2 linked regions of the Struthio camelus genome follow. The protein of the gene in region 2 purifies or fractionates together with the protein of the main gene of each other region. This does not show direct contact. Links are inferred from orthologs where the notes say so. Each region holds a gene or a part of one and is shown on either strand. Other genes may lie near its edges.

Region 1 (7,528 bases), on a different chromosome or scaffold from region 2:
ACCCTTTGACTGAATTTTCTCCTTTGATTTAGGTTTTTCCTAGTAATTTTTACATAGGAGGTTATCTTAAATCAAAATAACACTATAATTGTTTTAATTCTTTTATCCTGTTCTTTTTTCCTCCTCCAAAAATGTCCAATGGTCAAAATTAGACCATTTCTTTGCCTTTCACACTTCTGCTTTAAGGAATCTCCTTCTCCTCACAGCCAGTCTCATTCCTGAACACTAACAGGAAATTCTACAGATAAAGATGATTTGGAAAGAGTCCTACTCCTGAAGCATTATCAGCTCTCAAAAATCAGGTTCAGACTGCTTTACGTTAGGCACAAAATCGCTGGCCAAATTAAGGGATGCTGGCCTAGCTGTGAGAGCTGCACCACCTCCTCCTTGACTTTTACCTTTTTGCTGGAGCTTCTCACTGTGGCAGCTTTATATTTCAGATATAAAATCAAAACATCACTGTCATCTTGCTATGATCAGGACAGAGTTAACGCTCTGGCTAACTTGAAAAATTTTACTGAAAATGCCACTCATTATTCCTCCTGCACCTGACTGCAGAATTTCAGCGTGAACATTTTTTGTCTGGACTGTAGCTCTTGATTTTGTTTTTTCCGTCTTTTATTTTTACATAGGCCCCAGAAAGTGGGGATTTGGTTCATATGAAAACTCATACAGTGACTGATTAAATGAACCATTGGCTCTGAGACAGTGATAATAAAGCAGGCTTGAACATAGAACTAAACATGGTGTTCTTGGAAATTAAAAAGTAAATAAAAGATACAACAGGAACTTTTATTTTGATGCATAGAAGTGATTCAAGGAAACTCTGGGATGCGAGCTCTGAAAATATAAAGTAAAAATTTAAAGAAGCAGTGTGTAAGTTTTTGTGGGGAGAAGACAAAAAAAGTGACTCAGCAACAAGTTTACAGTTCAGCAATTTGAAGAGCTCTTTCCTTTTTTTTTTTTTTTAAAAAGACATTTTATGGGAACAGAAAATTCTTTTAAAGACTTTACAGATCTGAGAGAGGAAGAAATGTTCTCAGTCTTGACAAAATGTATTTTATTTTACAATAAAATACACCACTTTTTTTTTCCACTTAGGAAAGGGGCCCTCAGTAACAATCAAAATTCAACAGTTATCTTGCCTAAAACTACTAGGCACAGAAATATTATTCGATAGTGGAAAGCTTAAAACAGCACTGCTTCTGAAGGACTCTAAAATATTAATTTCCACCATTCATGCCTTGACATATTTTCAGACAGTGTTTTTCTTGTCAGTTCCATTACATAAAGCCTGATATAACTGAATTTAAATGCCAGTGAAGCTTTTTCTGACATTTGTAGTTGACATGGATGCTGTTACATGCTGTATATATATGAATTGTATAACTTGTGTATAAAAGTGCTTCAGAGCACTTCACAGAATTAACTAGTGAAGGCTCAGAAAGCTCCTGAAAGGCGGGCATTTTAGCCAGGGTTTGCCAGCACAGATGCTGGGGTGCAGAGGTGAGCGGCCGTACTGCCCGGGCTGCCTCGGCGCCTCCCGCGGCAGAGGGCCAGCCGTGCTGAGGCGGCAGCGGTGGGGGCCTTCGCAGCCCCCGGCCCGCCCGTGTCCCAGCCGGGCTGGGTCAGCACCTCGGTGGCAGCGCACAGCTGAGCTGCCTTGGGGCCAAATCTGTGGTCTGGGCACACTGCTGGGTGCAAGCGCGCTCGGGCTAGCGCGAGCCCAGCAGCGGGGGCACGGAGGAGCCTAGGGTGGCTGGTGCACTCCATGCCCCCAAAGCACTCCCGGGCTGCACTGACTCAGCGCGTGGACGGGTCCCTCCACCACACGTTTGGCCCATCAGCTTCCATCTGGCTCATCAGTTGGTGACATGACCTCATGTAACCAATGCCAGGAGCACATGGCGGCCTGGACTTCTTCCTAGGGACGCGAGACTTCACATACCACGGGGGCACACGCGCTCGGGCTGCCTGCGAGGCTAGCATGGGCACAAGGAGCTATGTCTGGGGAACACCCTGGGTCTCAGGTTCCTCCTCGGACCTCACACGGGAGGCGCAGGGAGACAGTCACCGAGCCTGAATTCATGCAGTACAGATTCAGCTGGCAGAAGCACAGCCACTGCAGACTTCCATCTGTCTCATTCAAATGACCCTACCACCGATCAAAACAACACCCTTTTAAGAGATAACCTTATCTAATTTAGTTAGAGATTAGCAACGAACTCCGGGCAAGCACTGCTCCCTGCTATTGTAAATGCAAACAAACCCCACCTTACAGAGATACCAAGCTGTCCTCAGACTGACACAGGATGCATGTGGATATGCAAACCTCTGGTGACATCTTCTCTGTCCCCGTTCTGCATGTGGCTGCATGCACTCAAGCTAATACACAATTTAAATAGACTTCCTGGTACTTGCAGATATTTTAATGCTGCCTATGGCAGCTTTGGGAACTGAAATATGGTTTCGTTTCTGAAAAAAAGACTGACATCCTCGTGCATCTTTCATGAACTACGTGGAAGAGCACAGGCTGGATGAGCAGCCTGAAACGCCCCTGGCGAGAGCCGAGCAACGTTATGCCGCCATTCCCTAGGCACAGCAGAAACTTGTTACCTCACTAGCGGGATTTTTTTTCTAAAGAAAGCACCACTGAAAGGTGTCCAAACATGGCACCCCGAGGGGAAAGGACGCTCCTTAGGTGGCTTAACACCTAAACACCCTTAACACATACAACGTACAATTTGTATAACTTTCCCCCCACATCACTGCCATTTCAGGTGCTCCTGCGTTGCCGCTACCACGGCCAAGGGCGGGCGGCAGCAGAGCCGCTTCCCAGGGCAGGGAGGGCACGTCGGGGCTGCCAGGGGCTGCGTGCCCGCCGCCGGGGCCGGGGCCGGGGCCGGGGCCGCGCCGTGAGCTGTCCGCCGGGCAGTGCTGCTGCCCGCCGCCCTGGACAGCTCCCGGCCCCGCCGGGCCGCCGCCCGGTGCCCGCCGAGCGCAGCAGCGCCGGCCAGACCCCCCCGCCGCCCCCTCGGGCGCACGGCCGCGGCCCCCCGCGCGGCGCCGTTACCTGGCACGGCCTCCGCCCGCTCCTCCATGCCGCCGGGGCGGCCCGGGGGGGCACCAGCCGGCCGCGCCGCCGGCAGCGCGCAGGGGCCGCCGCCGGGAACGCGGCGCCGCGGCGCCTTGTTGCCACCCGGGCGGGCTGGCGCGGGGCGCTGCGCCGCCGGCGCTGCCGCTTCCGCTGCGGCCGCACGGCCTCGGCCCGGCCAGGCGGCCCTGGCCCCGCCCCTCCGGCCCCGCCCCGGCCCGGCCCCGCCCCCGCGGGGAAGGGGCGGGCGGGGCGGCGGAAGCCGGAAGCGGCCGGAGCCGCGGGCGCCGCCATGGCGCCGGTGTCGCGCTCCCGCAGCCCGTCCCACTCGCCGGCCTCCCGGCGCCGCCGCAGCGGCAGCCGCGGCTCCTCGGCCAGCCCGTCGCTGCCGCGGGCGAGCCGGGCGCCGCGGGCCGCCAGCCCCGAGCGGCGCGGCCGCCGCTCCCGCGAGCGCGGCGGCGGCCTGAAGCGGTCGGGCCCGCGGCGGAGCCGCAGCTGGTCCCGGTCGCGGTCCCGCACCCCCGGCGGGGCGCGCGCCGCCGCGCACCACGGGCACGGGCACCACCACGGGCACGGCGGCGCGGCCTGGCCCGACTACTACGAGAAGGAGAAGGAGGAGCTCGCGCGGCAGAGGCGAGCGCTGGGGCCGGGCGGGGCCGCCGCGGCCCGGCCGCCCCCGGGGGGCCCGCGGGCGCCAGCCGGCTGCCGCGGCCGCCTCCGGCCGGAGCCCGCCCGGCCTCAGCGCGGCTGTTTTCCTTTGCAGGAGGCTGAACGAGAGGGAGAGGATCGGAGAGCTCGGGGCGCCCGAAGTCTGGGGGCTTTCCCCAAAGGTGCCTGACCCCGAGTAAGGAGCTGTCTTTGCTCTTCCCCTCCCGCCTCTGCGCTACTGATTGCCCGCTAAGTTACCTTACAGCCTCGTCCCTGCGCTTCTCCCTTCTCCGCGATTCGTGTCGCGTCAGAAGCTCCTTTCTGACTTGGCCTAGCCGGGTCGTGACTTTTCCCAAATAACTCCAACGTGTCCACTCTGTAAGACTTCGGTATGTTGTCGGTCAGGTGAACTCCCCCTTGTGCTGCCGTTCTCAAAGCAGTTCTCATGCTGCAGATTAGCTGTTTAATAGATTTGTTCACTGCCAATATTGGCTGAAAATGTGCCAGCATGTGTCTGGTCAGTTGTGTATATTTGATCTTGAATTGCTAAATATTGCAAAATAGATTTTTGAATAATAAACTTCTTATTTTTACTCAGTTCTGATGAACATACTCCTGTAGAAGATGAAGAGGCAAAATCTAAGAGCAGTTCTTCAGATTCCAGCTCAGAAGGTATTTTGCTCTGCTTGTACAACTTGTTTCAGAACTTGGAGGTCACCTAAGACTACAGCCTGCTGTTGTGGCTTGTAAGAGGTTAACTGACTTTGCGAGGATGAAGTGAGCGTGACGGGCTCCAGTTCAAATGAGAACGTTGCCACAGTAAGATCCTGAAATACATACGGAGCTAGGTCGTCTCCCTCTGTTCCCTAACATTGTCTTTTGAAAACATTCTAGAAGAGAAAAAGAAAAAGAAGAAGAAAAGAAAGAAGAAAAAGCAAAAGGCATCCAAAAGAAAACGGAGGAAACATTCTGAGGACAGCGACAGTGAGTCAGAGTCAGACTTGGACTCTAGTGGTAAGAAAAGGCAGTTTCTGTTAATCTGCGTGGTCTGAGAGCTGTCCTTGTGCTCCTCAGAACGCAAAGCAAGGCTTCCAGCTTCTGCTGCTCTGAAACTACAGAGCTGCCGCATCAGCCCTACGCGCTTTTCTTTCACTGTCTTGTTGGATTTGCAATGCCTTTTTCTTGATGAGCGCTTGCGGTTCTTACATCAGGAAATAGGATCTCTGAATTTAACATCTGTTAGGTGTCTCATGCCAGATGGCTCGTTGAGTATATCGAGCAATAATGCGGGTAGCTGTCTGCTGATATATTTTTTTTTTTTCCCCATGATATTTGGCACCGAAGCAAATCATGTTTGAGAACCTCTACTTAAAGCATTCTGGTGGAGGCAGTGTTATTTATTCACAGTGCAATAAATCAATTATTTTTCTAGTTCAGATCAGTCTGACCTGATCTCTTTTTAGTGATTTATACTTCTAATTTTTCAGATGAAGATAAAAAGAAAAGCAAAAGGAAGAAAAAGAAGCACAGAAAGTAAGTTTCTAAAATGTTATGTATAATTGTACCTGCTTTTCACTAGAGGGCAGCACCACCCTCTTCGCAGGCAATGAGGAGGACTGCACCCTCTTGTAATTAAGACTATAAATCCTATTGAACAATCTTAATGTGATGCATTGGCTTTAAATGTACAGAACCCTGGATCAAAGAGGATTCATGGGAAACCTGAAAGCTTCTAACACTATATGAAAAGCATAATAGTGGATTTATTGTTTTTGTTTTGCTATATTTCCTATCAAAGGACAGCAACCTATAGCTATATAATCAGCCCTTCCCTAGGTGGGAGTTGCCTTGAGAAACTAATCAGTTGAGCTTGATTCCTAGTGCTTGCATTCCTCTTAAATTTTGGTGAGCAGCATGTCTGTCTTTGACTTTATCACAGAAAGAAGTATAAGAAAAAGAAAAATAAAAAGAGCAGGAAGGAATCCAGTGATTCAAGTAGTGAAGATTCTGATGGTGAAACATTTCAAGGAGAAGATCTCTGGATTGAGAGATCAAGTAGGTTCATGTGACTTTAAAACTTGGATTAAAAGACCTCAATGTTGTTTTCATTAGTTTATTTGCTAGGTGTTGCTGACTTGTGTAACTAATCTGATAACAAAGAATAATGGGCACAATATTAATCTTCGCTATTTGCTTATTGCAGAAAATACGGAAGCTGATAGCCTCATTGGACCAGAAGCTCCCAAAACACATGCGTCTCAAGATGACAGACCTCTTAAGTGAGTAGCCAACTCTGGTATTACTTAGATCAAGTCAGGTAAATCAAACATGAAGACTTCTGTCCAAAGGGACTGTTATAATAACGTAACGTGTAACAGAGAGAGAGAGATGCTGTACCAGAAGCCTAAGGACAGAGGTGGGAGTGATGCTGGTCTTTACCCTGACCTGAACTGAGGTAGAAGAGTATGTTTTACACATTTTAGCCTTGATTTTTAGATAAATTAATTGCTCTTTTCTCCAGTGAGGTGTTCATGATGCACTTTATTCTAATGCTCTCCATATGGTAACTTTATGCAGCCTTCATACTGTTAAGAAGTTTGATCAAACCAGTAGTTTAAGCTGTTGTTGCTACGGGTTGCCAGAGAGAAGAAACAAGCCAGTTTGTGGGAAAGAGTTGGGAAGTGCTTAAAAGTGTGGCTGCAGCAAGTAACGAACAGGGAAGCTAGATGCTGTAGCTCAGGCTTTCTCTCTCTGTTTGAGACTGATTAAAATCCCTGCTTTTTTTAAGCTATGGACATGCCCTGCTGCCTGGTGAAGGCGCAGCAATGGCAGAGTATGTAAAAGCGGGAAAACGTATACCACGGAGAGGTGAAATCGGCTTGACCAGTGAAGAGATTGCATCGTTCGAGAGCTCTGGCTATGTAATGAGCGGTAGCAGGTATGGCTTTGATGATGGTAATGGTTCAGTGAAGTTTGCAAGAGCTGCTTCCTCTGTTGGCCAGTGGAAAAACTGATTCCAAACACTAGCTGAAAGCACAGGAAAAAAAGGTGCTCTGTGTGTCTGCAATAATCTGTGCTAAGCTCCCTGTTGCTACATATATACCGTGAGTTTGTTAAGGTATTTTCTCCTCAAGAGTAAAAAAATATTTCCAGCTAACCCACTTCTAATTATGTTGTACGTGCAGAGAAATGATGCTTGAGTCAGATGGCTCAAAGCCTGTGTCTTTGGTAACATGCTCGCTCTTCAGTAAGACAAATGAAAATGCCAGAGGTTGGCCATGCTTTTTCGATATCAGTACAGCTGGAGTTTCACGTACGTTTTGGAGAGCCAACAGTTGGTTCCCTGGGGGCAGGAGGGACTCCCTCCTTGCTGCCTGAGGGCAGACACCTCAGAAATCAGCTTCTAAGTGCCATGCTCCTTCCTCAGGAGGTTTGTGTGCAGTTTGGATTCTCTGGTCTAGCTGTCTTCCTTATTTATAAGCGGAACACATTCGGGTCAGCGGATGGATTGACGCAGAGGGAGCCTTGCATCCCTCTGCCTGTGCTGATGAACACAATGTTCTCCTCCACAGACATCGCCGAATGGAAGCTGTGCGTCTACGAAAAGAGAACCAGATTTACAGCGCAGATGAAAAGAGAGCTCTGGCATCCTTCAACCAGGAGGAGAGAAGGAAACGAGAGAATAAGATCCTTGCAAGCTTTCGAGAGATGGTCTACAGGAAGACTAAGGGCAAAGAAGACAAATAATTATTTTTTGAACTATACAGCGTGGATTCTAGCAAGCAG
Region 2 (7,528 bases):
AGGGAAAGGTGACTGGGTCTGTCTGGGTTCCTCATAGAGGTTTCTTCATTGGTTTCTCCAATCAGATTTCTCCTCCGATTTGGGTTCAAGTCTTCCCCAGTGTCTTGATCAACATCCTACATTAGATTGATTAATCAGTCAGCTCTACCTATATTGCACTTCTCCTTATCTATTAACCCTGCCTGGTACTTCCTCTAACACAGGAGTAAAAGCGCAGTTCATTTCTCAGACAGGTTACTGTCAAACACAGCCCATATACAGAAAATGAGAGTTTGCATACCAGTTGTTTTAAAAAAAAAAAAAAAAAAAAAAGTCTCCAGAGGTGAGTGTACATCCCAAGGTCTGGAATATAATCTGCCTTGGCAATGGCACTGTTTCATTTAAAATTAAATGATTCTCTAGTTCAGAAAAAGGAAATCAAGCATAAAAACAGCATAAGGTCTGTCTTATCACCTGGCTAACATGTCAAATCAACCACTTCATTTGGTTCAACAAACAAACAAACCACTAAGGAAAACGAGTGAAAAGTAATAAGCCACTTAAAAACAGAAATATAACTTAAATGTTTTAACTCTCATTTGAAGGGTTATGTATTAGTTTTCAGTATTACACAAGGCAAAAATAGATGTAATCTTTATAAAAGGTTAGGCACCACATGAACTCTCTTTTAAGGACTATGGACTATCTTCCATACCTTCATGCTCAGGCTGGTTTTGGATCCAGTAAAAGATAACACTTTGACTTTTACTCTTTGTCCTTTGCTCACAACATCAGCAACGTTGGCAACCCGTCCTTCTCTTCGAAGCTCAGAGATGTGGACCAAGCCCTCCCAGCGCTTCCTACAGGTGAAATAGGGGCATGAGATGTTGGATATTATTATTCAAACAGCTTCTAACATCCTTCAGAGTCTGGTTTAAAATATTTTGCTGTCAACCAATTTTTGTGTATGTTCATAAACTGCTTTTTTTGAAGAAAGCATTCTCCACTGTCAAATTTATTTTTGTGAAATAGAACTTAATTTTAGCATCAAAACTCAGCTTACTTTATAGTAGCATCCTACACTCTTTAAGATATTAGCAGAGAGCAGAACACAGATGGAATAAGATGAAGGTGAAGATCAGAAGGTACCTTAGTCCTTCCAGCTGCACAAAGCATCCAAACTGCATTATACTTGTCACTTTGCCATTGTAAATGTCGCCAATGGAAGGCTCTTCAGGTGGTGGACGGTCCACATGTTTGTCTCTCCATCTATCATTGCTCTTCTCGACATATTTCTCTCGATCCTTACGGTCCCTGCTGGGACTCTGACTCCTGCTCCTTGAGCGGTATCTGGATTTCCCCCTGTTCTTGTCCCAAGTCCTAGAACGAGACCTAGAACGAGACCTGCGTCTTCGCTTCCTGTCCCTGCTGCGGCTTCGGCTCTTCCTCTTTTTTTTCGCCCTATCAAACAAACATTAGACGTCTACACCGAAATTCTGCATAAGAACACAGTGGGTAGACAATATGAACTGCCTGTACCCATCCCCTAAAGACATACTAAAAACCTACCGGTGGTCACTGTTCCTTTGCTTGCCTTGCCTGTCGGCACTAGGCATTAGAGCTTCAAGTTCTTTAAGTGCATCAGCTGCCACTTTCACATCATCTTCATCCAACATATTCTGCAAGGACAGAGAACCATTCTGTAGGAAGGCTGATAAGAGTCTGTCACAAAGAATTAACCTACACAAAGAATAATCATGTGCATTTCTGTTTAGAATTAATATAGGATAAAGAAAGATCAGACAGAATACATGATATAGAAAGAAGAAATGATATTATTAAAAAAAAAAAAAAAATGCTTCCTCCCATTTTGCCATAATATTGTGCCAATTCCGCTTTTACAAAAAGAAGAGTTTTATCTCAACATCCAAATTATTACCGAAATACAAAATACAAATTCCTGGTATCATTTTAATGTCCAAGATTTTCATCTAGTTCATGATTAGTTGCTCTAAACATTATGTCAGAAAGGCCAGGCTACAAATTTCACATCACAGGAGCCTCATCTTTCAAATATCCTGCAAAATAGCATCAATGTGGCAATTCCTGTAACAGCAGTTCCTGATAACTACATCCAATAATATCAGCCTTCTGCTTCTTCTGGGTTTCATTTCTCATGGTCCATTTTTATTCATGCATTAGCAGGAGATACAAATGCTAACATGAATACAACTTGAAACTAGAGAACAACTGCAGAAAATAAGTGTTATGTTTCCATACACTCATGAGAGAAATCTGAAATTATGACCTTACCCTGATGTTGGGGTTGTCTGGCCTGCAAAGGGCTGGAAACAATTCCTTCAACTTTTCTTTCTCTGATTTGGGTTTGACAGCTGCCTCTGATTTTGAGATTAAAACAGACACACACAAAAACCTTAGAAGTGCTATAAGGATTTGCCCTTGACATTTGTGAAGCTGAATATAAAGTTTAATTTTCATCTGAATGCAAAGATTAACACAGCTGTCACAGATTAAATTCAAAAATTACAATGTTATCTTTCTATAAATGATATTATGATTAATAGCAAACCTGTGAAAAACATAAATGCTCTAAATACTGTACTCAACATGTTTTCAGTGCCACAACAGCTTTGCAAGCCTACCACTAATAACAGAGAGAAATCCATTACAGCAATAGGATATGTATTGTCCTACAGGACTAGAACAATAACTACTTTGATCTGACCAAATATGGCCAAAAGCTACAAAAGGCAAGTTTTTTTTTCTACTGAACTGATGAGAGATAAATTATCTATACCTTTGCTTGTAGATGGTTTTGATGGAGGCCGCATTGTCTGTATGAGACGTAGCAAATTACTCACAAGGGAATCCTGCAAAATTCAGGAAAACACTTTATTCTGATAAGCAACTTCAATGCTTTTGTTCATTAATATAGGGCTCAAGAGAGGGTTTGTTAGGAGGACAAAAAAAGCTCAATGCTGAAAATGCAGGCTTTGTTTTTAAAAAAAAAGCTTCACGTACAGCCTAAAACAAATATAATAACTTGGATTTTAAAGTGATTATGATAATTCCATTTAACTGATTTTCCCACTCATCACTTTTCTAATCACCTACTTAATCCAACTACAGTAATTGCTGAGGAACACAGGAAGATGGCATCTAAATATCATAGAAAGACTTCTGCTAACACTTGCCTTCATGACAAGGTGTTTCTTCTGTATTTCACATGCTCAGCAATCAGACAATAAACACTTCAAGTAAGGCCTCAGAAGGATGCTTCACAAAGACTATGAGTGTTCAGAAAGAGGAGGAGGAGGAGGGGTAGGAGAAGGCTTGATCAGATAGGTATACTCAAAAGCTATATATTTGCATAGTTTTCCAGTTTAAAAAAAAAATCAAAAAAAAAAAAAACCCACACCTCTCTTTTAAAACAAAAAAGGCTCTATAAAATATGCCAGGTCAAAAATGTACAAATAATGTCTAGCTCTCACTTACAGTGAACTCAGCACCATTCTTTAGAAGAACAGCTTTAAATGTGTCAAACGTAGTGTTTTTCTCAGCAAGATTTATCACAAACTCGGCTGTGAAGAAAAAGTATAAAGGAAATCAGAGCAAATAATTCAAAGGCAGCGTAGGCGCACGTTCTGGTAAGAGCTGTTCTGGCGGCAGCCCAGGGCTCTGCTAGACCTATCCACCCACAGCAGCGCTTTCCTTTCCGAGCCCCTTCGTGGGAGCCCAGCTCCAAGCACTTTCTCGCGCTCGCGACAAGCTTTCTGAGGGAAGGTCCCCTTTTTTCCTCAACCCGAGAAGCCGCTCGCAGAACAGGCCCCGGCCGCCGGCCGCGCCGGGACAGGCCCTTCTCCGCGCCCCCGGGGCCGCCCCGCTGCCGGCTGGCACCGGCCGCTCACCCAGGTCCTTGTCGTTGATGCCGAGGTGGTTGTCCAGCTCGGTGCACACCTTGGAGACCAGCGACAAGTACTCGAGCTTGGCGAGCTCCTCCAGGGCCACCGGGTCCGCCATGACTCCCCCGCCCCCTCACGGCGCCACTTCCGCATCCGGGACGCGGCGGAAGCTCTGCGCCGAGCATAGAGAGGTGCGCCGTGCTAGAGCGGCCCTCCTGGGGGAGAGTCTGTAACACCGGCTTGGTGGTTGTGGCGGGCGAGGGAGCCAACGGGGGCGAAGGCGGGAGAAGGCGCCGCGGTGCCTCGCGGGAGGCCGCAGCGGGCGGCGGGGCGCGGGGGCGGCGGGGCCGTCGGCTCAGTCCGGTTGTCTGCTGAGCGTTAACCCTGGAATAGCGCGTGCCTCAACAAGGGGGGGAGGATGGACGTGAGAGTGGAGCAGCAGAGAGGAGGACCAGCCCCCCCCCCTCCGCGTCGGCCCTGAAACAGGTGGCAGCAGAACCGGCTCTGATGTCGCTCGGTTGCGACGGCCTCAGTACAGTGATTAAATTGTCCTGTGGCAGGGACAGACGGGGAGCGCGGGAGGCAGGGTTAGCAACAAAAGTGAGGCAGCTCGTAAAATACTCAGCATCTTGCCAAGCAAACGAAGTAACCCATCCACCACTCCCCACCGTGTGTGGGGGCGCGTCGCAGCCCCCAAGGTGGGCTTTCTTGACGAGACAGACACGTTCTGCCTGGATGAGATCATTATTAGCCAGCTGCTAAGTACCCTCATATGCATATCTATTTCTTGAATTATAAGCATAAATTGAACGAAGCAAAACGCTCTGATGCCAGCAACAGTGTCTTCTCAGCACCGTTGGAGCAATGTCTCAGCAGTGAGTTAAGTCTGGATTCCTGGCTATCACAATATTTTTTTTTACTTATATACTTAGATTCATTGTGTATTAGATTCATTTGGACTCATTTCACCAAATTTTTAACTTTCTGCTCTGCTGGGCTGCTGCAGATGTAATCAGTGGGCTGCCTGTGCTCTGGAGTGAACTTGGTCCTTCTGGCCCGGCTGACACATCAGACCCCTCTGACCCGGATTTCTGGAAGAGTAACCTCCTTCCTGGTATGTACTAATTAAATTACCCCAAAATAAGAGGGTTGTAACATACTAACATGTCATAATATATTCTATATTCAAAACCAAGTTTGTAATTCAGCAGACAAAATTGATTTATGTACTGAAACTTTGAAATCCTGTCAACTAACAGTATCAGCTTCTAAATCTTGCTCCCAGGCTCTCAGTCCCTTGTGAGGATGGAAGTCTGAGCCTTGTCTCCAGGTCTGCAGAACAGTGCACAGACTGCAAGTGAAAAATGCTGCGTGCACAAACATAAATAAGTCTAGCCAAATTGTGTGTACATGCTAGCAACTTAGGCCCATTAACAGTGGAAAATATGTCCAGCCTCTAGAACGCTAGGTGAAACAATAGCATGTTATTCTTTCAAAGGCCAGAATTAGAGTGGAATTTATGTGAGCTGAGTACTACCACCTTAATTAATCTAGCAGTTTATAGACAATAAATCATGTGCTGAGTTTTAAATTACTGTGCTAGACACATTTCACCTCACATATTCACTTAGCGTACCTCCTCAGCACTTGCAGAAGATTATTGGGAAAATCTAAATAGAGAGTGAATTTCCATACTCTAGGAAATGTTCTACATGAGACAACGATAGCAGACTCAAAGCCCTACTGCAAACTGCATTCATCAGCAAATTACAGCAATTAAGTAAGGGACTCCAGATGAATGTGGGTGACAAGCCCACCACGTGGCAGGTATTTATTAGTAATTAAGCTTTGGCAAACAGAAAAGAACCAAAGACTTCATGCTGTCAGCCTATGTGACAAGCTGAAAAGGAAGTGCCTGCTGTTGACTGAGCACAGAGACAATGGGGGCCCAAGAGAGACTGCTAGACAGCAACGGACACGGAGCACTGTGGAGCAGCCAGGCTGAGATCCATCAGTGTTTTCAAAAGCCTGCCACTTAGAACAGAGTGCATGGAGCACTGCAGAGGTGACAGTCCTGGGGCTGTATGAGCTTTGATTGCATCCATCTCTTCAGCTGCCTCTCCAGCTCCTTCCCCATAGTCCCAGCCTTGTGGTTAAGGGGGAAAGGAGCTACTTGAAAGCTCTAATCCCTGGCTTAGTCACTTCCACAATGCTATGCATCTCCTAGCACACAGCACTCTGCAAGCCTCTGTCCATATGAATGGACAGCTGATGGATTTCTACAGTCCTCCACCAGAGAGGGAGGAAAGTTTCCCAGTTCACACATGGGAATAGCAGGGTCACAAGAGTCTTGTTAGGTAATAAGGGTATAAAACAGTGAATTTTAATACAAAAGTTCTCTTAGAAACAGGAGGAGAAATAATAAAATGCTGATTGTTTGTATTGATTTTGAATCGAAACAGCAAAAACGTGTATCCCAGTTTCTAGCAATTTGCCATCAATTAAAAATAGAAGTCAGGCACAAAGGCAGCACTATCAGCTAGTGCATCTCACCAAACCCACACTTCAGATCTCCTTGAACTCCAGTTCCAAAGACAGACCTTTGCAGCAGCTCAACAGAGCTCAGCTTGGCACAGGCAGCTGTGAGAATCCAAGCTATGAGTCAACATAGACAGTGAATTACAGGCAAAGATCAGGCTGCTGAAAAGGAGAAGGTAAAGGAACTCTCTGGATTTGAGCAGCATGGGTCTCAAGGGTGGGGCAGAAAAATTAGTCATGTCTTGTGTGGCAAGTTATTACCATTAGAAAAAAAAAATTACATTTCCTAATAAACAGTTTGAATCTCAAACGTTAACAGTACCTAGCACAGCTCCTCTGCAGTGCTTCTTAGTTGTACATGTTGAGCAAGCACCAATCTGAGATTTTTTTGCTCACTAGCACTGGTTTAGCTGGGCGCTGAACCGTCAGGTGCAAAGCAGAACCTGCTAGTCTAGGGCAAGGGATAGAGGCAATCTCATGCAGTTCCAGAATCAGCATTAAAGGCATAGTAAAGTCTTGTTTTGGAAAGCAGGAAATCCCTGCAGCAGCAACGCAAAACTCATTTGTTTCCCAGTTAAAAACTTCTCCAATAATCCCCAATTCCTCATGCAAACCAAGGGCTTGCACCACTCTGGGTCTGATGAGCGGCTTATGAGAACAGAGTGAAGATGTGATTCTGGGAACTTGCCTTAATCAGACAAGCTGGGACCCTTCCAAACACAAGCATCTCATTGCAAAGCCTATCACAAGAGATTAGCTACAAGCAGCTGCTACTGCCAAGACTCTTTATAATCAGCCAAACCCATCCCAATCTATATGATGCACAGATGGAGCCCGGGCCCCCTCTCCTCTGTCCCCTACAGATTAGCTATTGTATAAGGGGTTTCTGGACTGCAGACAGACAAGCAGACGGCTGGAGATGGATGGGAGAGGGGAAGGGATAGCACTTTTCTCAAATCTGGTTGATTTGAAATGGCTTCAGATCATGACTGAACTGACAAATGTGAGGGTCTCCAGCACATACCCCTAGGTCAATATTGCTTCTGTCATTATGGATTAACATGGAAGTTAACAAAAAGCAACAAAAG

What was found. The genes of interacting proteins can lie anywhere in the genome.
Region 1: the proteins of DHX8 (region 2) and NKAP purify together in Homo sapiens (co-immunoprecipitation; 3 studies listed by BioGRID and IntAct, with this or other methods). This does not show direct contact. The link is inferred for Struthio camelus from reciprocal best matches to the Homo sapiens genes DHX8 and NKAP.

What each region holds. Positions count from the first base shown.
Region 1 is NC_090952.1:11,961,590-11,969,117, forward strand, and holds the start of NKAP (NF-kappa-B-activating protein), read left to right. Parts: upstream 1-3,386; coding exon 3,387-3,727; intron 3,728-3,857; coding exon 3,858-3,938; intron 3,939-4,340; coding exon 4,341-4,414; intron 4,415-4,636; coding exon 4,637-4,756; intron 4,757-5,229; coding exon 5,230-5,275; intron 5,276-5,681; coding exon 5,682-5,797; intron 5,798-5,945; coding exon 5,946-6,021; intron 6,022-6,530; coding exon 6,531-6,680; intron 6,681-7,314; coding exon 7,315-7,489; 3' UTR 7,490-7,528. Other genes in the region: ZBTB33 (transcriptional regulator Kaiso), read right to left, coding at 3,074-3,101. UniProt on the Homo sapiens protein: Acts as a transcriptional repressor. Plays a role as a transcriptional corepressor of the Notch-mediated signaling required for T-cell development. Also involved in the TNF and IL-1 induced NF-kappa-B activation.
Region 2 is NC_090966.1:8,061,042-8,068,569, reverse strand, and holds the start of DHX8 (ATP-dependent RNA helicase DHX8), read right to left. Parts: upstream 4,054-7,528; 5' UTR 4,021-4,053; coding exon 3,909-4,020; intron 3,582-3,908; coding exon 3,496-3,581; intron 3,286-3,495; exon of another isoform or gene 3,201-3,285; coding exon of another isoform or gene 3,195-3,200; intron 2,871-3,194; coding exon 2,798-2,870; intron 2,379-2,797; coding exon 2,293-2,378; intron 1,720-2,292; exon of another isoform or gene 1,659-1,719; coding exon 1,549-1,658; intron 1,441-1,548; coding exon 1,129-1,440; intron 840-1,128; coding exon 695-839; intron 117-694; coding exon 1-116.